Linked DNA regions of Pelodiscus sinensis. The protein of the gene in region 1 purifies or fractionates together with the protein of each later gene. This does not show direct contact. Links are inferred from orthologs where the notes say so. Each region holds a gene or a part of one and is shown on either strand. Other genes may lie near its edges.

Evidence for each region. The genes of interacting proteins can lie anywhere in the genome.
Region 2: the proteins of DDX21 (region 1) and DKC1 purify together in Homo sapiens (co-immunoprecipitation; 3 studies listed by BioGRID and IntAct, with this or other methods). This does not show direct contact. The link is inferred for Pelodiscus sinensis from reciprocal best matches to the Homo sapiens genes DDX21 and DKC1.
Region 3: the proteins of DDX21 (region 1) and CDK9 purify together in Homo sapiens (affinity purification with mass spectrometry; 3 studies listed by BioGRID and IntAct, with this or other methods). This does not show direct contact. The link is inferred for Pelodiscus sinensis from reciprocal best matches to the Homo sapiens genes DDX21 and CDK9.

Annotation. Positions count from the first base shown.
Region 1 is NC_134718.1:28,634,641-28,642,583, reverse strand, and holds the start of DDX21 (nucleolar RNA helicase 2), read right to left. Parts: upstream 3,009-7,943; 5' UTR 2,940-3,008; coding exon 2,544-2,939; intron 428-2,543; coding exon 158-427; intron 1-157.
Region 2 is NC_134723.1:737,191-744,799, reverse strand, and holds the start of DKC1 (H/ACA ribonucleoprotein complex subunit DKC1), read right to left. Parts: upstream 3,003-7,609; 5' UTR 2,912-3,002; coding exon 2,896-2,911; intron 2,193-2,895; coding exon 2,134-2,192; intron 1-2,133. Other genes in the region: 40-kDa huntingtin-associated protein-like, read right to left, coding at 5,796-6,806.
Region 3 is NC_134732.1:10,828,201-10,836,145, forward strand, and holds the start of CDK9 (cyclin-dependent kinase 9), read right to left. Parts: upstream 3,003-7,945; 5' UTR 2,885-3,002; coding exon 2,757-2,884; intron 1,237-2,756; coding exon 1,155-1,236; intron 198-1,154; coding exon 107-197; intron 1-106. UniProt on the Homo sapiens protein: Protein kinase involved in the regulation of transcription.

The DNA of each region.
Region 1 (7,943 bases):
TATGCCTCATAGAGGTACAGCTCAGAATCTATTATCCTCTGCTACGACCAGTGATGACACACAAGGTTTTTCCTAGCAACCCTAAACACTTTTCCACAAAGTAAACCTGGTCAATTAGATTTTTTAAGCAGATAAAATTAAGGGTTTTAGCATGTACCTTTACTGGCTCTTGGTCACTGTCATACTCTGCACTTGATGCTTCGCTGGAATTACACTGAGCTTTTGAGTGAGCAATGCCATTGCTCATGGAGGATTTCACCTTATCCTCTGAGCTGTTTTCTTCAATATCTCCGTTCACTTTTTCTTTAGCTTTTTTCTTCTTTTTGGGTTTAGGAGGATCAAGGTCATCTTCAGATAGCTCATTTTCCTCTATTTCAGATTTCAGTTCCTTGACTTTACCATGGTGTTTAGATTTCTCCTTTTTATCCTTCAGAGACACAACATCAAATAGAAAAGGACAAAAAAACAAAATCTATGAAGAAAAGTAAAATGTCTTTAGACTTTTAATCTGTGAAGCCTGAGCCTCTTCAGGAAGAGCAGAGGATACCTCTGTCATCAAAAGCTTTCTGGCAGTCACACCTCATCATAATTAAACTACCCCCCCTACTGCAAGAAGATAAACAATCTGTGACTGAGTGAGACTGATAATGACTACTACCTACTGATTATGAGAACCAGACTGTTCTGAGGCTAGTAGCGGATGTCACATGCACCTACCTGTTTACAATCTCATGAACACCACATGATAATATTTATATTACAGAAGCCCCTAGAGCAGTGGTGGACAACCTGCAGCCCACCTGGAGCCCACGGACCCCTTGGCTGACCCCCTCCTCCATACCTCTCTCACACACTGGGACACAAAGCCCTGCACTTCATACACCTCCTCCCTTTCTCCCAACAGATTTGGGGTGTGCAAATCAGGCAGCATTCCAACTCCGGGAAAGGAGGAAAAGAGAGCAAGGACAGAGCGATTTGAATGCTCTGAAAGTGCTGGGAGGGGGAAATGCAGGTAAGCGTGGGGCTCCATTAACTGAGAAATGTGTGGGCAGGAGCCCAGCCAGGAGGGCTGTGGAGCCACAGGTGGAACCCCCATGGACTGCAGCCTGCTGTTGCCCACTGACATAAAGGCGGGCCATTCATGGTTGCCCATCCCTGTTCCAGAGGCACTGAAGAGTTTGGAATTCTATTTTATTAGGCACTGTACATGCACATTTTTGTAATAAGGAAACATTTACAATCAAAACAGACATGACAAAGGACAGGAGAAGAAACAGAGCACGAAGTGAAGTCATTTGCTCAATGTCATGCAACAGGTCAGTGGCAGGGTCAGAAACACAACTCTCTCATGATTCCCAGTCCAGTGTCCTATCCCATCCACTGGACCAAGACAGTAAACCAAACCTCAAACTTCAGGATGTGATGGACTATAGATACAGATGTGCTGTAATCTAGCTAGGGACATGTTGCAATCTGAAAAGGTGGCATGTCTATACTGCAGCTTAGAAGTGAATACTAGCATCAGCAGACAAACTCATGTTATCAGTGCTCAAATTAACGCTCTCAAAACAGCAGCGGACATTGGCACAAGTGATGGCTTCTGTTAATGGCCCCAGGCCAACACCAACCATCCACCTAACTCAGGTGGCTGGATAGCCCAAGCCACTACATATGCCAAAAGGACCACTCTGCTATTTTATGGTCCCTCTAAACTAAAGAGGAAGGTCAGCTTAAGATACACAACCCCAGTTATGTTAATTACATAGCTGGAGTAGACATTTTAAATCACAATCCACACAGGGAGAGGCAGATGGGAACAAAGGATCCTGCTGGATTCCCTTACTCCGGTTGAGGAGCAGGAATATCAGCACAAACAGGGGCACCTTCTCAGTTTGAATTAATGGGTCTTCACTAGATGCGCTAAACTGAACCCCGGGACATCAAAGGCAGCACCGTCAATCTTCCGCATAGTGTAGACAGGTCTTAAAGCCCTAGCTAATGCAGAGCTCGCTCGAGTCATCCTATCCACGCTGGGAATCGCACCTTCCGATTGCAGTGCACACAAGTCCCCGTGTATCGCTGGAAACTCCTACTCCATAGGACGCCTGGCGGGGGCAGTTTCAGGGCGCGCTCGGAGGACCCCGCCGGGCCAGAGAACACATGGGTCTGAGCCTGCACAGCGGAGGGCTCGCACCCTTCCCGTCGCTTGCAGCCTGCCAAGGGGGCAGAAATGCGGCAAAGCATCGGGGCGGGAGGCGAACGTCCAGCCGCTCACGAGCCGAGCGAGGGGCTTGGCTCACCCAGGCGGGCGCTGCCCGCAGCCACTGGCAAAGAGAGAGGGAGGCGCCCACGTGGCGCAGCCATGGAGGCCGAGCTGCGAGCCACGACCAGCCAGCCTCCCGCACAGCACGGGTCTATGGGGAACCCCTGGTCCCGGTTCTCCCTCCGGCCGGCGGGAATCGTCCCGCCCCACCCCCTCTGCCGCCCCGGCCGGGGATCCCGGGACAGCCGGCCTCTCCCCCTCCAGGGTTCCGCTTCCCTACCTTCTTCCTCCTGCGGCCCGCCCGGACGGCCTCGCCTTCCAGCGGTGTCTCGGGCTCGCTGCCGGTCGGCAGGAGAACGGCTGCGGGCATTTCCTGCGGCTGTTCCCCGCGGAGCTCGGGCGGCGAGCAGCTGGGACGCTCGGCGGCGGCGGCGAAAGGAACGAGCCCCGCCCCGGGCCCGACGCACAGGAAGTGAGGCGCGGGGGTGAAAGCCGGGCCCCAGCGCCGGCCGCGTGGGAAGGGCGCTGCGCCGCCTGCTGCTGCGCCGGACTGGAGCAGCCGCAGCGCCGGGCGGGAAGCGGGCGGGGGGCGCGCGAGCCTGGAGGCCAGAGCCGGGAGTCCCGCCGCGCCCGGCTGCCCGCCTTTGCGGAGTAGCGTGCGGCACGCGGCGCCCATCAAGCACCCTGGGCTGGGCTGGGCGTCGCGCGCCCCCGCCCCGTCGCGCGTCACCCGGCCGAGCGCCCGTTCGGTCCCTGCGCCCTCCCCAAGCCTCGGGGCAAACGGCTGCGGCTGGAACTTCCCCTGCGCCCCCGCGCACAAGCCGGCTCCCCCCGCAGCTGGCGTCAGCCGCCCGGGGCTTGGCGCTCGCGCGCTCCCGGCTGCAGGGGCCAGGCTCGGGCTGCGGCTGCACCGCCCATGACCGAGCCGCTGGCTGCGCCCGGGAACCCTGGCCGGGAGCACGTGCCTGCGGGGCAGCCCTGGCTTAGGGGTTAGCGAGCCCTGCCCAAGCCCGGGGCCCTCCGCGCGCAGACCTGTCCGAGTATCCCTGGGGCGGCGGCACCACCCTCGTGACGCTCTCGCCCTAGGGCCGGGCCGCACCGGGGGGAACCCGCACGGCCTACCCTGCTCCTTACGGGGAGCTTGGGCAGCCCCGGCAAAGCCTGCCGAGCAGCCATTTTGGTCAGTGCGCTCCCCGCTGCCAGCGCCAGCAACATGGAGGAGGCTCGCCTTTGGATGAGCCCCTCTTTGCTTGCACCTTCACGGCTGTGTCAGGAAACTGGCGGAGCTGCAGAGAGGCGCTGGTGGGCACTTCGGCCGCACTTCCCGTCCCACCGACTCTTTTCTTGATGGATGTGCAGGGAGATGTATGAGGCAGCAGAAGCGGATCCTGGCATCACAGCCTCTCAGTGGCAAATGCTGCTCAGTATAATTGGCACGGCTGCTGGGACCACGTTGTCATGCGGCCCTGGGATGACCAGCAGTGGGTGCAGAACTTTCACATGAAGAAAGCTACATTTCTGGAAGTGTGAGACCAGCTTCTTCCCACCCTGTACTGTAGAGACACATACAGGGTCACCCTTTGCCAGTCCAGAAGGGGGTAGCTATAACTATCTGCAAGCTGGGTACTCCAGACTGCTAAGGGTTTGTTGCCAACCAGTTAGGGGCTGGCAATTCAAGTGTGGGTAAAGTGGTGGCAGAAGTAACTGAGACAATCATTTGTGTGGTTTATCCCAAAGTGGCAGGCTTTAAAAATATCCCTGAGGTAATTGCTGGCTTTGAGAGAATGGGGTGTTTCATAATTGTGGAGGTGGAAATAATTGTGGAAATCACGTGCCCATTGTTTGCCCACCTCACAGAGCACATGAGTATTTAAATCACAAAGGATACTACTTCACTATTTTACAATCACTAGTAGACTACAGAGGCAGATTTATGAATGTTAATGTGGGCTGTGCATGAAAGGTTCACAATGCCAGAGTTTTTTGTCACTTTGGAGTGTACATCCATGGACAGGCTAGGACACTATTCCCACCCAATGACATTGACATAAATGGTGTTACTATCCTCAATGTTATTCTGGGGGATCTTGCATACCCACTTTTGCCGTGGCTTATGAAATCATACCTTGATGTCAAAGGCACTGGAAAAAAAAGGTGTAATTACACTCTCAGCAACTGTAGAATCGTTGTTGAATGTGCTTTTGTTAGATTAAAAACACGTTTGAGGGTTACAAACCTATTTGTATGTCAGTGTCATCAATGCTGTCTGTATTGCTATGCTCTTCACAACTTTTGTGAATCAGAGAGGAGCCCTTTCCCCTAAATGCACCTATGACAACAAGGGAATATTGCATAAGTACCCTCTGTGCAGCTATCACCCTGGAAGCTCATTGCACCCAGGCAGCAGAAGTAAGGGATGCTTTGTGTGGGCACATTATGGACTTAACAGTACAACAGAAGAGGGGGAATAACACCAGTACAAACATGCTGTGCAGGAAAACTGGCTTAAAAATCTTGAGATGGGCGTGCATGTAAGTCATGCAGTGCATGTGAGAGACATAATAAAAACTGTATTGGGGGGGCAGCAAATAAAGGAATACTGTTTTCTGTATTACGCTTAATTGCTCCTTAACATGTTTTTATCTTTATCTCAAATCCTGATATTCTGTATAATATTCTTTATTTGTTAATAGGTATGTAAACAGTAAACCACTCATAGTCTTGGGCAGGCCAGCTGCCAATACAAAACCAACCTCTCTCTCCCCCAAAAAAGGGCAGGAAATAGTTACTACCCAGCACAGTCCTTCTATCCCTACAGCTATGTCTACACTGTAGGCTTCTTACACAAGAATGGCCGTCTTGCGCAAAAACTTCTGCAGTGTCTATGCTACACGCTGAGACTAACACGGCTACATTTCTATCACTATGCTACACGCACATTCTTGCGGAAGTAAATTTACAGTAAAGTGTCAGAACAGAGGGTTTCTTGTGCAAGAGTTATTCCTCTCCCCAAGAGGATTAAGCCCTCTTGCGCAAGAAGGCAGTGTGAATGGGCAACAGGTTTCTTGCGCAAAAAACCCCTATGGCTAAAATGGCCATTACAGCTTTCTTGCGCAAGAGATCATCCACACTGCCATGGATTCTTGCGCAAAACAGTTCTTGCACAAGAAGCTTGCAGTGTAGACATAGCCTATGTGTATGCTGGTCCCAACTTCTCTTTTCCCTTCTTTATGGCTACGTCTAGACTACATCCCTTTTTCGGAAAAGGGATGTAAATTAGACGTATCGCAATTGCTAATGAAGCGGGGATTTAAATCTCCTGCGCTTCATTAGCATAAAAATGGCTGCTGCTTTTTTTCGGCACGGAGCTTTGTTGGAGAAAAGCGCCAGTCTAGATGCTGAAATAAGGGATCTTTCAAAAAAGGCTTTATTTTTTGAAAGATCAGCGTCTAGACTGGCACTTTTCTCTGACAAAGCTCCGTGCCGAAAAAAGCGACAGCCATTTTTATGCTAATGAACCGTGGGAGATTTAAATCCCCGCTTCATTAGCAATTCAGATATGTCTACGCTGCTCCACCACCATCCTCCAGCTGGGTTGCTGTTTCACTGTGGCAGTGGGAAGCGGAGTGGCCCAGCCTCACCCCACTTGCCCAATTGATGCTGGCTCAGGGAAGCAGAGCGGACTGGGGCTGGGTCGCTCTAGTGCCCACCACTATGGTGAGTACGATGGGGGTGATCCCTGCTGCCACCCTACAGCAGGCCCCTGGTAATCCCTCAGCTCACATCTCTCAGGGAAGGGGGCTTTGGGGAAACGGTGCAATGGGAGTGGATAAGGATGGGGTTTGAGGTGGCATGGGTATGGATTGGGGCAGAGCAGGGGTGGGAGAAGGTGGAGTCTGGGGCAAAAGAGGGGTTGCTCCAGGCCCTGCATCACCCAAGAGAAGGCCTTGGATGAAGTGACCTAGAACACAGGCCATATAGGTTAAGAGTCCTGAAATAGGACAAAAAATAGAGGGTTATTGTTCAAAGCAGCTCAGTGGAGGAGCACAGAATTAGTAACTATGGAATGTCAAATAAAATGTAGCGATCCTAAAATTAATTTGCACATACTCTGGAAGGGATATTTAGGCAGCACATATCCAGGGAAACCATTTCAGATTTGGAGGGGGGAAGAGAGCAACCAGTGCACGTTGCCATGTTGGGAAGCAGAATGAGGGCACGGAGGAGGGGGGAGAGGACCAGACTGAGAACAGTGGCTTCAGCAGTGTTCCTAAGCATGCTCAATACAAGCCAAGCAGCGAATCATAGAATACTAGGACTGGAAGGGACCTTGAGAGGTCATCAAGTCCAGTCCCCTGCCCTCATGGCAGGACCCAATACTGTCTAGACCATCCCTGATAGACATTTATCTAACCTACTCTTAAATATCTCCACAAGATGGAGATTCCACAACCTCCCTGGGCAATTTATTCCAGTGTTTGACTACCCTGACAGTTAGGAACTTTTTCCTAATGTCCAACCTAAACCTCCCTTGCTGCAGTTTAAGCCCATTGCTTCTTGTTCTATCCTCAGAGGCCAAGATGAACACGTTTTCTCCCTCCTCCTTATGACACCCTTTTAGATACTTGAAAACGGCTATCATGTCCCCCCTCAATCTTCTCTTTGCTAAACTAAACAAACCCAATTCTTTCAGCCTTCCTTCATAGGTCATGTTCGCTAGACCTTTAATCATTCTTGTTGCTCTTCTCTGGACCCTCTCCAATTTCTCCATATCTTTCTTGAAATGTGGTGCCCAGAATTGGACATAATACTCCAACTGAAGCTTAACTAGTGCAGAGTAGAGCGGAAGAATGACTTCTCGTGTCTTGCTCACAATACACCTGTTAATGCATCCCAGAATCATGTTTGCTTTTTTTGCAACAGCATCATACTGCTGACTCATATTCAGCGTGTGGTCCATGATAACCCCTAGATCCCTTTCTGAAGTACAGGCAGTCCCCGGGTTACATGGATCCAACTTACATCGGATCCCTACTTACAAACGGGGTGAGGCAACCCCGCACTAGCTGCTTCGCCCCAGCAGACCAGAGAGATGCAAAGCTAGCGCCCGCCCCCCCAGCAGACCAGGGAGACACGGAGCGGCTTTTCTCAGCAGACACCTCAGCTTGAGAATAAGGGACTGAGGGAAGTGAGGTGTGGGAGAATAAAACTGAGCTCTGGAGAAATGTTTGGGTAGAATTTCCCCTACAATATGTACCAGTTCCGACTTACATACAAATTCAACTTCAGAACAAACCTACAGTCCCTATCTTGTACGTAACCCGGGGACTGCCTGTACTCCTTTCTAGACAGTTGCTTCCCACTCTGTATGTGTGAAACTGATTGTTCCTTCCTAAGTGGAACATTTTGCATTTGTCTTTATTAAACTTCATCCTGTTTACCTCAGACCATTTCTCCAATTTGTCCAGATCATTTTGAATTATGACCCTATCCTCCAGATTAGTTGCAACCCCTCTCAGCTTGGTATCATCTGCAAACTTAATGGCTGTGTCTAGACTGGCCAGTTTTTCCGGAAAATCAGCCGCTTTTCGGGAAAAACTTGCCAGCTGTCTACACTGGCCACTTGAATTTCCACAAAAGCACTGACTTCCTACTGTAAGAAATCAGTGCTTTTTGTGGA
Region 2 (7,609 bases), on another chromosome or scaffold:
CAAAGACGTCTTCATTCTCCGACATAACACTATCCCACCTCAGGTCCTTGTGTCCCCATGGACAGCATACACCAAAACCAAGGCAAGAAACAACACTACCCTGCCTTCCGTCCTGCTGCTTCTTTCCCCTCCATCCTCCAAATGAAGGCCTAAAATGGCAACCATTTAGGTTACTGTAGCTACATTTACACTACAGCCCAGATGGATGCGCTGAGATTGATGAACTGGTGATCAATTTAGTAGGTCTAGTGAAGACCTGACAAATCAACCGCAGATCACCATTCTAATTCACCCTGTTACTTTACCTGGAAGAGAAGAGTAAGGGAAGTGGATGGGAGAGTTTCTCTTGTCAGCCCCCCATAGAGAAGACCTCAAGGTAACTGGAACTAAGGTATGCGGACTCCAACTGGTAGCTAGAATTGCATAGCTTAAGTCAACTTTCTGTTGTAGTGTGAATAACATTGTTAAAATGAATTTAAGTAATTGTGTAAACGTGAAGAGAGAAGGCTCCCTGCATGTATGGCAGTCCTGGGCAAAATCTGGCCCACGAAGCCACCAGATTCAACCTGCAGAGGCAGCAGGGAGCCCCTGGCAGGCTCCCTTTCTTGCCCCATGCAGAAACAAGGCTGCAGGGCTCCATTTAAAGTTTTAAGAACCGCCCTGCCCTCAGTATATTTCCATTGGCTGGTTTCTAGCAGAAACCAGCCAATGCGAGCTGCTTGTTAGAACAACAGGCAGCTAAGAAGAGTCACGCCCCCTCTCCTAGACCCAGTTCTCCATGAAGCACATGGCCAGGCAGGCAGGCTGGCTGGCTAACATTGTAAGCTCTGCAGGTAGGCAGGCTACTTTGGCAGCTGACAAGTCTCTCAGCCATACCCTGCTTCTGGCACCCTAGCCCTTTCCTGCCCCAACTCTCTCCCCTCTCCCCCAACATACCCAAGCCTTCTGTCCCCCTCTTACACCTATACCCCCTCCCATATCTGGCACCCAACTCCCTCCCAGACTCCAGTCTCCCTCCTGCATCCCAGACCCTTACCCCAAGCGCCCTTCTGCACCCAACCTCCATCCCAGACCCCACATCTCCATTAATACTATGGAAGAATGTGGCCCTCAACCACTTTCCACAATTTTGGGAAGGGCCTCCCTTCAAAAATTATTGCCCACCCCTAGGCTACGTCTAGACTGGCATGATTTTCCGCAAAAGCTTTTAACAGAAAAGTTTTTCCATTAAAAGCATTTGCGGAAAAGAGCGTCTAGATTGGCACAGACACTTTTGTGCAAAAGTACTTTTTGCAGAAAAGCGTCCGTGCCAATCTAGACGCGGTTTTGCGAAGGCGAAAATGGCAATTGGGGCTATCGGGGCTTTTTTGCGCAAAATAGTTTTTAGCTGTCTACACTGGCCGTCCTACGCAAAAGCATTTGCACAAGAGGGCTTTTTCCCGAGCGGGAGCAGCATAGTATTTGTGCAAGAACACCGACGATCTTACATTAGATCGTCAGTGTTCTTGCGCAAATTCAAGTGACCAGTGTAGACAGTTGTCAAGTTTTTCTGCGGAAAAACTTGCCAGTGTAGATGCAGCCCTAGTGTACAGGGCGGCAGGTGGCTCCCTGGGAGCTGATGCACATGGGGAGATGGCTGTTAAGCCGGCTTCCCATGCATATAAGGAGCCTGCATGTAACCATGCGCATTAATTGATGAGCCCAGGCTTATTGGTTAACTGTGCGCATAGATACACTTTTACATCCCTTATTAAAACGGTTAGGGCTTTTCTTCAGTACATGTGCTCTATTTATTGCATCCTTCAGATATGCTAAATCAGTCTCTAAGCACTCTCCCTTCGGCTGGGGCACTGCACCAGGATGAGGAGAGCATCAGCCCCCTCCCCTCGCACCTCAATGCATGGAAGACACCACGTGGCGTGCTGACTTCAGCTAAGGCCGCGCAGCTGGAGCGGGCAATTGTGGAGCGGCCGCGGCCGCAGGGCGAGAGTCCAGACATGGCCCCGAGACACGGTTCTAACCCCCCCCCCCCAAAAGCGGCCGCCCGGCCCGTCAGGCCGACGCCCGAGCCAGGCTGCAGGCCAGCGGGGGGAGGGGCGCCACGAGGAGCCCGCCGGCCCCGCGGAGACTCACCGCGACATCGGCGTCCGCCAGAGACTTCTCCTTCCTCCGCTTGTGCCGCCGCGCGCCCCCTGCGCGGGACAGAGCGGGGGGGTCAGCCCGGGGCGCCGCGCGGAAACCCCCCCGCGGCCTGGAGCCACCGCCCAACGGCCGGGCCCCCTCCCCCGCGGCCCCCGCCCCCCCGAGCCACCGCCCAACGGCCGGGCCCCCCCCCGCGGCCCCGAGCCACCCCCCCGCGGCTCCCGCCCCCCCCCCGAGCCACCCCCCCGCGGCCCCGAGCCACCCCCCCGCGGCCCCCGCCCCCCCGAGCCACCGCCCAACGGCCGGGCCCCCCCCCGCGGCCCTCGCCCCCGCGGCCCCGAGCCACCCCCCCGCGGCCCCCGCCCCCCCCCCGAGCCACCCCCCCGCGGCCCCGAGCCACCCCCCCGCGGCCCCCGCCCCCCCGAGCCACCGCCCAACGGCCGGGCCCCCCCCCGCGGCCCTCGCCCCCGCGGCCCCGAGCCACCCCCCCGCGGCTCCCGCCCCCCCCCCGAGCCACCCCCCCGCGGCCCCGAGCCACCCCCCCGCGGCCGGGCCCCCCCCCCGAGCCACCCCCCCGCGGCCCCGAGCCCCCCCCCCCCCGCAGCCCCCGCCCCCCCGAGCCATCCTCCCGCGGTCCCCGCCCCCCCGAGCCCCCCCCCCCGCAGTCCCCGCCACCCCCGGGGCCCAGAGCCACCGCCCAACGGCCGGGCCCCCGCCGCCCCGACACAGGCCCAGGCCCCCCGTGCCCCTCACCTTCCCCGTCCGCCATCTTCGCCGCTCGCCCCGCCAGCCGCGTGCAGCCGCCACCGCGCGCGCAGAGAGACTGGCGGGCCGCCCCCGTCCCGAGATGCACCGCGCGCGGGCCCGGCCCCGTCACGTGCTCAGGCGCCCGGAGGGGGAGGAGCTGCCGGCCCGCCACGTGACGAATCGGGCCGGGCCCGCGTGAGGCTCAGCCCGCCCCCGCCAGGATCCAGGCGCCCGGAAGCTGTTACAGCTGCGGGCAGCCGGCCCCGCAGAGGCGCACCCCGCCTTCCCGGGGCTCCGACCGCTGGGCCGGGCCCTTGTGCCGTGTAAACGCGGTGCCGAGGGGTTTGCCTTCCACAGAGGCCCGCTAGCATGGCAGGGCCCCCACCCAGCGGGAGGGATCCAGCCAGGAAAGCCCTTCCAAACCGCTTCCAGGCTTGCATGACTGTCTTAGGACTAAGCTTGTTTTGTCCCCTTTGCTGGACACATTCCTCGTTCAGTGGGTGAGTCTTCCACAACGGCAGGGCAGCTGCAACATTGTTCTTGCCCAATTTTATCTGAAAGGTGTAAGATACAGGAGTAGCTCTCTAACATTTGTATCCCTGGTATCGTGCTCTCTGGTACTGCACTTTGTTGCAAGGCTTGAGACTAACACAAACTCAGCTTCAAGACAAAGGAAACTCCATTCTGAGTTCCAGTAGAAAGATGCTTCATTAGTCATACCTCAGCGCATATGCCCATTTCAAAACATTAGTGTAAAGTTCACTCTTATATGCAAAAATCAGTTTACAGGTGCACGTAAAGTAACACACACACAAAATACCCATCCATTTCCAGCACTTTACAGGGACATTCTGTCTCCACTTCCTACTACGAGAAAGGCTTGAAGTATTTTTTTAAGCAGCTTCCAAACAGCCTCACTTTTATTCACACAAAAGACCAGGCACGCCACATAGTTTGAAGTCCAGAAGGTTCAATTTGTGTAAGAATTCAGTGTGCAAAAAGAACAAAATTGTTTCTTTAGGATACATAAATACAGTTAAAGGGAAAGCACAACTAAAGTTGATCCTCTGCTGGAAAACATTCTTTCCAGAAGATGGCCAGCAACATGCTCTTCTCAGGGCAGTTATCAGAGCTATTCTGCATTTTTCATCATGAAAATGCCATACAAACATTATACTTGCACCAGAGATTTGTAAAATGGGAATGCAAATACAAGTAGGAAAGCACACCTACAAAGAATAAACGATTTGTTCAAGACTAGAGTTAATAGTGTGGAACCAGCTTCCAGGCCCAGATTTAGTTCATTAGATCACAGACCGGGTCTACCATCCAATTTTTAATTCTCTTCATCATTAAAATAGAAAAGTTAAGAGTTAAAAACTAATTGTGCTTTACAGAGATCAGTTTTGCCCTCCCCTAGAATGCACACCTTAGCAAGTGTTGCAAAAGCATATCCGAGGACCAAAGTTACGGGTAAGTGTTCCCCCTACACCCATACATTCCTTTTAAACTGCTGTAACAGGCCTGATAAATAGCAAGATAGCATATGTAGCCAATGCCAAAATTAAACACATTCCACACCCACCTTTACTTACTTGTTGAATGAAACCAACAAAGTAGTGAGGCTAATGAGCTACAAGCAGGGACTCCTCCCCACATTTCCTAGGTTGTGGCTGGTGACACATTGAACAGTAATCAGTTTAAGACTATAATATTTACTGAATTATAGTTTAAAGAATGACAAGGCTTCAGGATAGATAGTTTTCTAGAGACACCAATGTATCTACAGCATTACATTAACAGAGCAAGAGCTTGGACGGAGAGCCAGGTAGTTAGAAAATACAAATCTCAGGCAACAGAAACACTGAAACAGAACCCGGACCAGAAGGGACATAACAATACAATTTTAGCTTCTCATTTAGTTTTTAAATGGAAAGAATTATGAGCACTTTAAACAGAAATGGTATTTTTGCTCACATACCTAAAACTACTCTAATTTTTAAACATACAGAAAAAATGCACTAATCATTATATCTACAAATGTGAGACTTTTAAACTAGAAGGCTGAATCCTGGCATTTGGGGACTGTTTGGAAAATGAGTGCCATTTGCAGTCTCTTAATAAAATATGGCAAGAGTCCTGCCTCTTACGAACTTGAGCTGTGATAGCACACAGTTTCTAATGGATCAGGTCATCTCCTGCAATAGGTATATTGAATCTGTGAGTGAGAGGAGTATGGGAGAAGTGCTGGGGCTGAAAAAGGACATTTCTCTATAACCAGAAGTAGTACATAGGAAGTGTTGGCATATCCACATTCCTCAGCCTCAAAGGGAAAATAGTCTCAAGTGGCATTACATAATTCTTGCCTATATGCTGATGGTCACAGGGAGATAGGTGAACTCTGGCTGCACAGTGGTGACAGGCCAAAATGGAACAACCCTGTGTATGGCTGCTGTGGGAAGCAGAACACCATGGTGGATGAAACGAGTCATGCTGGTAGTGATGCTGAGTAGGGCTTAGACTCTGTGGCTAGCAACAGAAAGGTACGACCACTTCCCTGGGGAACCAGGTGGGCTAATCTCTGGATGATTGCTGTAGGTGTATGAAGTTAATTTCTCTGGTGATGTTTGGTGAGTGTTTTGGGCTATATGAGGGAAATAGCAACAGATCAGTGAAGGTGCAGTTAGTCTGTGGAGATGGCAGACAATACAGAGATGCCATAGTGATGGCAGCTGAAGGTGGGCAAAGCCTATCCCGCTGGTGATGCTACTTGGGGACTCAGGAGTCCCACTGAGGCAAAAGCGGGTGGGTGGGGCAGGCCTCTCTTTCAGGTGGGAAACAGACTCCCTATGGAAGTGGCAGCAAGCAAGTGAAGCCAGTCTGGATGTGTGTGGGGGGGGACGGACTCAGGACCCCTGACCAGCAGGACTGATCATCTCTTGCAGCACTAGATGGAGCAGGTGGTTCTGCTCAGGGCTGAGCAGCGGCCAGAGCTCAGCTTGCAACACCTTGAGCGCCTCCAGGTCCTTCTCCTGACAGGCCATGACAGCGGACTGCAGCAGGAGGAAGAGGCCCGGAGGCAAGTACCCCGCCTGGGGGAGCTGCCCGGCCCCCGCCCCGCTCTCGAAGGCCTCCCAACAGTACTTCTCCAGGGTCTGGGCATGCTCCGGCAGTAGCTTGGGTGGCGGTGGCTGGAGCAGCAGCAGCAGCAGCACCCGCGACACCTCGCAGCGCACCAACACCTCCAGGAACGCGCCGCTGGGAGGGCTGGGCCCAGCCTGGGCCAGCAGCTGCGCCTGGGTGAGCACAGCCAGGGCCCCGTCGTAGTCGCGGCTGAGCAGCAAGCAGGAGGCCAGCTCGCCCAGGCAGCGCAGGGCCTCCAGGGGCAGCTGGGCGGCCGCCAGCAGCTCGGCGGCGCGCTGGAACTGCGGGGCGGCCTGGCCGGGCTGCTCCATGTCCCGCAGCGCCGCGCCCAGCTCCAGGCACAGCCCGGCCGCCAGCGCCGGCTGCCCCAGCTCCAGGTGCAGGCGCGCGGCGAAGGCGAAGCAGCTGTGCGCGGCCTGCAGGTGCTCGGCGAAGCCGCCGCTCAGGCCCAGGCGCTGCCGCAGGTCCCGCTCCTGGCGCAGGAAGAGGCGCGCGGCCTCGCTCAGCGCCTGCGCCTCGCCGGGCGCGTGGAAGAGGCTCTGGGCGCAGCGCGCCACGGCCAGCTGGCACCAGGCGGCGTAGGGCAGCGCGTCCTGGGCCCGCAGCTCGCGCGCCAGCGCCGCGAACTGCTCCGCCGCCTCCGACACGTTCGGCTTCCGCAGGAAGCGCCGCCGCAGCTTGGCCGACACCAGCCGGTAGCGCGCCAGGAAGTCCCCGTCCCAGCCGGGGCCGCCCGCCGCCGGGCCCGCGCCCGAGCCGCCCGCCGCCGCCATGCCGCCGGAAGTCGCCCCGGAAGTGACGCCGCAGCCAGAGCGCCAGCGGAAGGGGCGGGGCCCTGCCGGGAAAGGCCGGCTGGGCGCCGAAAGCAGGGGGCGCTAGAGCGCGGCGCGCGGTATGGCCAGTGCTGCAGCCCCGCTCCCCAGCACGAGCGCCTCCTACCGCCGCGCCCAGGCACCGCACCCTGCCCCCCAGCGCCTCCTACCGCCGCGCCCAGGCACCCGCACCCTGCCCCCCAGCGCCTCCTACCGCCGCACCCAGGCACCCGCACCCTGCCCCTGCCCCCCAGCGCCTCCTACCGCCGCGCCCAGGCACCACACCCTGCCCCCCAGCGCCTCCTACCGCCGCGCCCAGGCACCCGCACCCTGCCCCCCAGCGCCTCCTACCGCCGCACCCAGGCACCCGCACCCTGCCCCTGCCCCCCAGCGCCTCCTACCGCCGCGCCCAGGCACCCGCACCCTGCCCCTGCCCCTGCCCCCCAGCGCCTCCTACCGCCGCGCCCAGGCACCCGCACCCTGCCCCCCAGCGCCTCCTACCGCCGCACCCAGGCACCCGCACCCTGCCCCTGCCCCCCAGCGCCTCCTACCGCCGCGCCCAGGCACCCGCACCCTGCCCCCCAGCGCCTCCTACCGCCGCGCCCAGGCACCCGCACCCTGCCCCCCAGCGCCTCCTACCGCCGCGCCCAGGCACCCGCACCCTGCCCCCCAGCGCCTCCTACCGCCGCGCCCAGGCACCCGCACCCTGCCCCCCAGCGCCTCCTACCGCCGCGCCCAGGCACCCGCACCCTGCCCCTGCCCCT
Region 3 (7,945 bases), on another chromosome or scaffold:
ATTTTGTATTGGGCTAGTGCATTTCACTGAGAAAAAAATAAAGGGTACACTAGAGATCAACTGATGTAAGTTAAAAAAATAAAAAGGAGGAACTAAAATGTGCTACCTTTGGTCCTGCAGATTTCTATGAGGTTCACTACATTCTCATGCTTGAGCAGCTGAAGGATTTTGATCTCACGCAGGGCTGTGATGGGGAACTAACAAAGAGCCACAAGTTAGAATTGCAAGAGAAGATCCCAGTCTAATCTAGATCAGGGGAGGGGAGGAAAGGGGAGAGGAGATAATTATGGCAGAAATCTCAAAGAGATGTATTCAAGCAGACAAAGTGCTGCTGCTCAAACCACAGCTAGGGTCAGAACAGAGCCTAACACCAACATTGTGCAGTTCCAGATTTATTCACAGTGACTTCCAGTTTATAACTCTTAGCACCTAGTAACTAAAATAGCTTGTGTTGACTGTCCGGAACACCAGACTGGATCAACTACTTAAAAAAAACCCTGAGATGTGGAAGAGAATCCAGTGTGTTGTTGCTTCTTGAGATGACCAGCAAAAGCAATACTGATGTTTGCCATTAAAACATGGAGACACTTGTTAATGTGTGATCCCAATTAGAATGCAGCTCCCCATCTCCTCAATGTATGAACTTTACCATGTGAGCAGAAGTGAAATCTTATTGGGCTCAACAGAGATGCGATTCAGACACCCATGTAACATGGAAAGACTTTTGTTTTAAACCAAGTTACTTCCTGATACATAGGTAGGGGTTTAACTGGTTAACCAATTAAGGGGAGGTGCAGTCCAGATGGGCTGGAGCAGCCTCTGCCTGCAGTGCACCCAGGCCCACTGCCAACAGGGACTGCTCCGGACACTCAGGAGCTACTCCGGACACTCAGGAGCTACTCCGGCCCCCACAGTTTAACTGTTTATCCAGTTAACCTTTTACATCCCTAATACACAGAGCAGCACAACACTTTCTAAATTGAAATTATTTCTATATTGGTTTTTACTGCTGTAGATCCTGCAAAGTTACACACACAATGAATTTCCATATCCCACAAAGATTGAGACATTGTCTACTAAAGACATATGCCCAGCTCGCAAACTCCCACCCTTCTAACCCAGACACAGTAGAGGCACATGCCCAGCCATCTTACCCCCTCCTTCTCATTTTCCATCAGCACTTTCTTCAGAGCCACTTTCTTGCCTGTCTGCCGATGTTTTGCTTTGAACACTTCCCTGCAGAGAGGATAGAAACACATGGGCATTCCTGGAGGAGTTGAAGTAGCCAAGTGGAGCAGGCACAGCCAGCCAAGACTTAGGATGTTAACTAGTGATTAATTTATTAGCTGAGTTGATTACTAGTTGATAAGCACTTCCACGTTCCACCTTTGAAATATACAAGAGCCCCCAGGGCCCTGGGCATTTCAAAGTTGGTATGACACACACAGCCCAGCAGGAAGTCCCACTGACTCCATAGGGGCACTTCTGCTTTGAAATGAACAAAGTCACCAGTGGGGGCTCTTGCACATTTCAAAGAGGAAGCATCCGCATGGAGCCTGGGGTTAACAGGGGACTCATGCTCCATGCTGTGCTTCCTCCATGCCGCTGGCAACTCTTGCACAATTCAAGGATGGCATACTGGACGGAGCCTGGGGTCAGTTGGGGAGTTCCCAGCTGATCCTGGGCTCCAAGAGGTGCTGCTGCTTCAAAATGCCATGCAGAACCCGGGGTAGTCCCCAGCTAATCCAGGGTTCTGCACAGCATTTCAAAGCAGCAGCACCCCACTGGGCTCAGGGTCAGCTGGGGAGTCCCCAACTGATCCTGGGCTCCAAGCCACTTTGAAATGCCATGTGGAGCCTGGGGAGGCATTTTGAAAGGGCAGCACCACATGGAGCCTGGAGTCCCCAGCTGACCCCAGGCTCCATGTGGCACTGCTGCTTTTAAGTACCCCTCCTCTTTTCTCTCCCCCTCGCTGCCTCTATCTGATAAGGAGGGGAGGGGGGGGAGCAGCAACTAATTCTTTACATCCCCAGCCAAGACCAAACAAGACATTTCTATGCTTGCTTACAGGCAACTCAGTGCTGACCCTCTGCCTAGCCCAGGTCTTCCCACTTCGTGCCAAGAAGCACCACAATCTCCTAGGGTGCATCTACACAGCACAGTTATTTCAAAATAACTGATGTTATCTTGAAATAATGCGAGTATCTACACAGTAATTTTATTTCAAAATAATGGATGGCTTATTCCAACATCTTTAAACCTCATTTCACAAGCAATGTACTGTGGACACGCCCCTGCTGCTATTCTGAAATAGCGCCTCCCCAGGGCCACTCAAAGTAATTACTCTCTAGTGCAGCATTTCTTAAACTGTGTTCCACGGTACACCGGTGTGCGCCGAGGCAGTTGGAGGTGTGCCTTGGAGAACAACAGAGTGCAAAATGGCCAAACTTAGAGGGGCAGGAAACTTTTTTTCCCCCCCTCAATAACTCCCCCCCTTTTTTTTTTGTTGAGCAAAAAAATAAAAATAAAATAAAATAAAATCCTTGGGTGTTCCTCAGTCTTAGAAAGTTTAAGAAACACTGCTCTAGGGCCTCCTGGGGCTCTAAATCAAGGCAGCGCATCCACATTAGGGGAACCTGACTGGGACTAACTTTGAGGCTCCCCTGCAGTGTAGACGTGCTATTTCAAAACAAGCTATTTCTGAGTATTTCTCCTGGAATCGCTCATTCTGAAATACAGGTGCGGTGCAGACGTACCCCGAGAGAGCCGGCTCGCAGATTCCAAGGCAGGTGAGACCGGCAATGGACCAGCCTCTCACCGATCTCCAGGCGGGGGGGGGGGGGGGGATCTCAGACCCTGGGCATCTCCTAAGACACCAAGGCATTTTGGAGGGCGAGGGCGAGTCGATCCCTCAGCGCCCCCGGCGGGGGGGGGTCGCTCCCAGAAGGCCGGGCTGGCAGGAAGCCGGGTTGGGGGCGCTGGGGGCCGCAGGGCAGGGGGCGGCCCAGACCCGAGCGCTGGGGGGGGGGGGGCTCTCACCCGAACGTGCCCTGCCCGATCTTCGCCAGCTTCTCGTACTTGGACACCTCGTCGCAGAAGGGGCACTCCACCGTGTCGTACTGCTTGGCCATGTCGGCCCGCAGGCCCGGCTCCCGCTACTAGGCCCCTGTCGCCCCCGCGACTGCGGCGCGTTTGCTCACGTCATACGCCGGGCACGTCCGCCCCCGTGAGCCTTGCCCCGCCCCTTCTTCCGCCGCGCCGCCGCCTGGGAGTTGTAGTTCTCGTAGACCTGGCACTTGGTTAGCGGTCCGCAGCGCCAAGGGCCCGCCCCCAGGAGTCCCAGGCAGGGACCTCGGGGCATCGGCCCAGCTCCGCCCTGCGCTCCCAATGCTCCCCGGCCGGAAACTGCAACTCCAGCCTATAAGAGAAACTACGTTGAGCCGGGGCAGGGCCAGTCAAAGCCATTGGCCTGGGCCTCAGGCTCAAAGGGAGCCTCACGTTCAGACATGTGGCTGTGTCTACACTGCACCCCTGTTCCGGAAAAGGGATGCAGATGAGACAAGTCGGAATTGCAAATGCAGCGGGGATTTAAATTTTCCCCGCTGCATTTGCATGAACATGGCTGCCGTTTTTTCCGGCTCGGGGCTTTGCCGGCACAACGCGCCAGTCTAGACGGGATCTTTTGGAAAATAAAGCCTTTTCCAAAAGGTCCCTTATTCCTCTTAAAATCAGGAATAAGGGACCTTTCAGAAAAGGCTTTATTTTCCGAAAGATCCCCGTATAGACTGGCGCTTTTTTCCGGCAAAGCCCTGAGCCGAAAAAAAGCGGCAGCCATGTTCATGCAAATGCAGCGGGGAAAATTTAAATCCCCGCTGCATTTGCAATTCCGACTTGTCTCATCTGCATCCCTTTTCCGGAAAAGGTGTGCAGTGTAGACACAGCCACAGTGTCTTGGCACTTGATAAGTCTGGTATCTTGTGTCACGGGCACCCCTGTTGGGCCCAAAATGTGACCCACGCTCAGCTTTTCCTGCATAGAAGCATTTTTACATTAAGAAACATTGAAATCCTGTCTCTCTCGTGTGTATCGCCAGTGGCCCTGACACATAGGAAATATTCCCTGATGGAGAGCACTGGTCCCAAACTGTTCAGGGTTACACCCTCCCTTACACCTGTCAATACACCCTCAAACCATCCTGCAGAGCCACAGCTCTCCAGAGGGAGGGCGAAAAGGGACGAGGGTAACAGGATTACAACTGGGGGTGGGGGTGGGTCTGGGGCCAGGATCAGCGCCACAGCCAGAGGCTAAGGCTGAGACTGACACCAGAGCTGGGTGCAGAGTGGGAGATGGGGATGGGTGCATGGTCAGTCAGAGGTCGTGGCTGGGGAGGAAGCTGGAGCAGAGCTGGGTATGGCAATGGTCTGTCCTTGCCTCTGGGGGCTGGCCTGGGCCCCACTGTGCCCCTTGTATGTTCCACCACAGACCAAAGACCATTTAGGAGGCAATGCCCCACAATTTCTGCACATTATCTTCTCAGTGCATTTCCCATCCCTGACATTCACACACACATACACCCAACCCACACTTCCTGCCATTACTCACAATCAGCAGGAGATGCAGCTGCTAGCAGTATCTCAATGCCAGTATCCATGGCATTGATGGATATGAGCAGAACGCCAGCAGGGGGGGCTTTGAAACAAGCCAACAGTATTAGCAATAAGGCAAGCAGTGAGAGATTTAGCTCTCACATACATGAGACTAAGTCAAGTCAAGCCAAGATTTCAGGCAACAGAAATGGGCCTGCTGAGAGAGCAGAAACTAGTCTAGTCAGTACAGTAGGGTGCCACTAATAATCTTACTGCCAGGAAAGGAGAAAGACTAGAGGGACTGGAGTGGTTAGGACAAGCAATTGTGAGTCAGGCCTGACTTTGCCACTGACTGCTGGTGTGGCCTTAGGTAAGTCATTATCCTCTCTGAGCCTCAGTTCTTTCCTTAAGGTAAAAAGAGAAACCTAGAGGAGCCATGTCAAAAACCTATTCCACTGGTAGTGATACCAATAATTCACTTATAGACTGGGGTGCAAGAGAACCAGCAAAAAAGGGGCAATTTGCATGGCTCCTGAGCAAACCACACTGATCAGCTTCCATTCTGTAGTGTCCTGGCTACTCTTTGAGCCCTTGTATACTGCATTAAGCACATCCCCTGCTGTCTGATCCCTTGCTTAGACGCTAGCACCACATGTATTCTCTGATCCATTGGAGACTGTGTCAAATACATTCCTGCATACATCTAGGGCAGATCCTCAGTGGGTGTGAAATGGCATTGCTCTATTGACTTCATGGTCCTGTGTCAGTTACACCATCTGTAGATCTGTTCCCTAAAGTTTTGTCAGCTTGCTGGTTCAGTGCTTCTGGGAGCCAGGGGATTATTTTTCCCAAGCCCAGAAATGAAGGTGACTGTTCCTCTCTCTACCCCATTCCAAGAGGAAGTCCCTGAATAAATAATTCCAAGGAGAAATCTGAGTGAGTTCCATGTATATTCCATTGCCTCTTCCCAAAGTCTGTGGCCCTACCCCACCCCTCCATCACAGGCCTTTTCTCAGGGATGCCAGCTCTGTGTTTGCCTGACCCTCGAGCAGGCTATTTGCCTGCTTGAGTGGTTCCTTTTCATTCTGGACTCCATCTGTTGCTATTTACTAGTTTCCAAACCAGATGCCACTCATCTTTCACCTGGTGAGCTGCATAACAGTGGTGTCATTGGAGTTGGGGATGGAGGAAAGTGTGCATTTCCCTCTGAGGGCTAGCAAGGCAGCATGGTTTTGCATCAGCTTTACCCATGGCCACTGGCCCAATAGCAGAGCAGGCAGTACACAGGGTTTGTACAGATTTATCCACCCTCCCAAGTGACCCAGACATTAGGAAAGGGGAGGAACTTGTAATCAGCAGCAGGCCTGCCAACCCTCTTGAGTGCGCTAAGGAATAAAATAACTTTCCACTTTCCTTAAGGAAACTCCCACCCAGGTCAGCTCAGATGCCCTGCAGTCTTCTCTTCCTGCAGTACACATTGTAGGGAACAGCACTGCGCTAGCCCAGAGGAATGGACAAGCTCTTACCTGGTTCTGATGACTCTGTGATCCTTGTTCACCCTACTGAGAAAAAGCTTTCCTGCAATAAACAAAAAATTCACATTGCTATACCGAGCAGAAATATTCTTTGCATGCGCAAAAGCCCTCCCGTGCCTCTGTTCTCTGGGCTGGCTCCTCCTTATGGGAGGATTTTCAGATTTCACAATGGTGCGATATCCAGTCTCATCTCCAAGGTGAAACCATTAATGTTATTTAGGAAAAACAATAAGGGGTCCTTAAGGGCTAACAATTGTATTATGAACCAATAAGTAATTCTGTGGCACCTTAGAGACTAACAAAAATATATGGGGTCATGAACTTTCCTGGGTAAAACCCACTACAAGCTTTCCATGAGCTGCAATTCACCTTATCAGATGCATGAAGTGAAAGGCAAAGGAATCAGATAGTAGGAAATTTCCATTTTAAGTATTCTCACCTTCTTATCCACATCCATCCTGATTAGCCATGATGTAACACTCCCATCTCTATGCCCCTATTTGTTTCCTTTGAGTTTCACTTCATGCATCTGATAAGGTGAATTGCAGCTCAGGTAAGCTTATGCTATAATCAAATGTTTAGTCTTTATGGTGCCACGGGACTCCTTGTTTTTGCTGAAACAGACTAACATGGCTACCTCTGAAACCTGTTTGTTAAAAAGTTTTGCCTAGTGGGAAGAGCGGGTATTCCTGTTTTATAGTGGCTTGGCCACTAAGCCACAATGTAACTTGGGGGGAAATTTTCAAAAGTGGCCTCTGGCTTTGTGTGCCTGGCCGGAGAGACTTGTACCTGCTTTTTGGAGGTGCCACTGGGAGCTCTTAGTTCTTGGCGCCTCTTAAAATCAACCCTAACTTACCTTCCCCATCCCAAACTAGCAGCCACTCTTGCAAACGCAGGTCCTGCCTTTGAGGGTTCTTCGAGATCTATGCGTGAACCAGAGGCAGGAGAGGGTGTGCACAGGACAGTGTGCGGATGCATCAGAGAGAGCCCTACGAAGGACACCAGTGACTGGCATCCCACTGTGACCCTGTGGTTTGTGGTTTGGCTTGGCATTCACTACCCAGAACTGTCCCATCTCTTTGTGGACACAGAGCAACAAGCAGCTCTCCTGAGCCTGGCAGGCTGATCAGGCCATTTGTTTCTGAAGAATAGTCCGTGGGGAGAGCACTCACGTTGGGAACACTGTGTGCCAGCTCCCCGGCACATGCACGGGAGCCACTGCCCATGACTCATCACCTCTCCTGGCTCGGGCATTTAATTGAGACGCAGGAGTGAGCCGTCGGGGCCCGGGCTGCCGCTCTCCATCCTGTTCTATCATTTCCCTACGTCAGGGGCCGGTGAGTAGATTTCTTCCGTTGCCTCTGGGGCCTTTGGCAGGAAGAGCCACAACAAACAAGAGCAGAGTGAGCTCATCTTGTGGGGGAGGTGATTCCTTAGATGCACGTCCAGAAACAGCAAGAGGAAAATGCAACAACCTGGCGTTAATGTAGTGCTGGGGAGAAATGCCAGGTCGCTGGGCCTGGGTTCTGATGATGTATGTGTATCCAGACAGCAGATCCAGCCCAGGCACAAGCAGAGCCCCTCATGCAATGGGGAACTCCCACATCACCTGGCACAAAAGAACCATACGGCAGCACAAGACCCTTCACAAACACAGAGGTAGGTGTGAGCCCCGATCTAACATCTGGGCTCAGGATCAAGGCTGTGAACGGTTACACTCGGGCATCCTCTTGACCAGTGTTCTCTGTAAGCTGAATGCTTGGATGGCCACCAAAGAGGGATTCCAGTGCTGCCCTGCCCAGCTAATTAGCAGACAGCCACAGC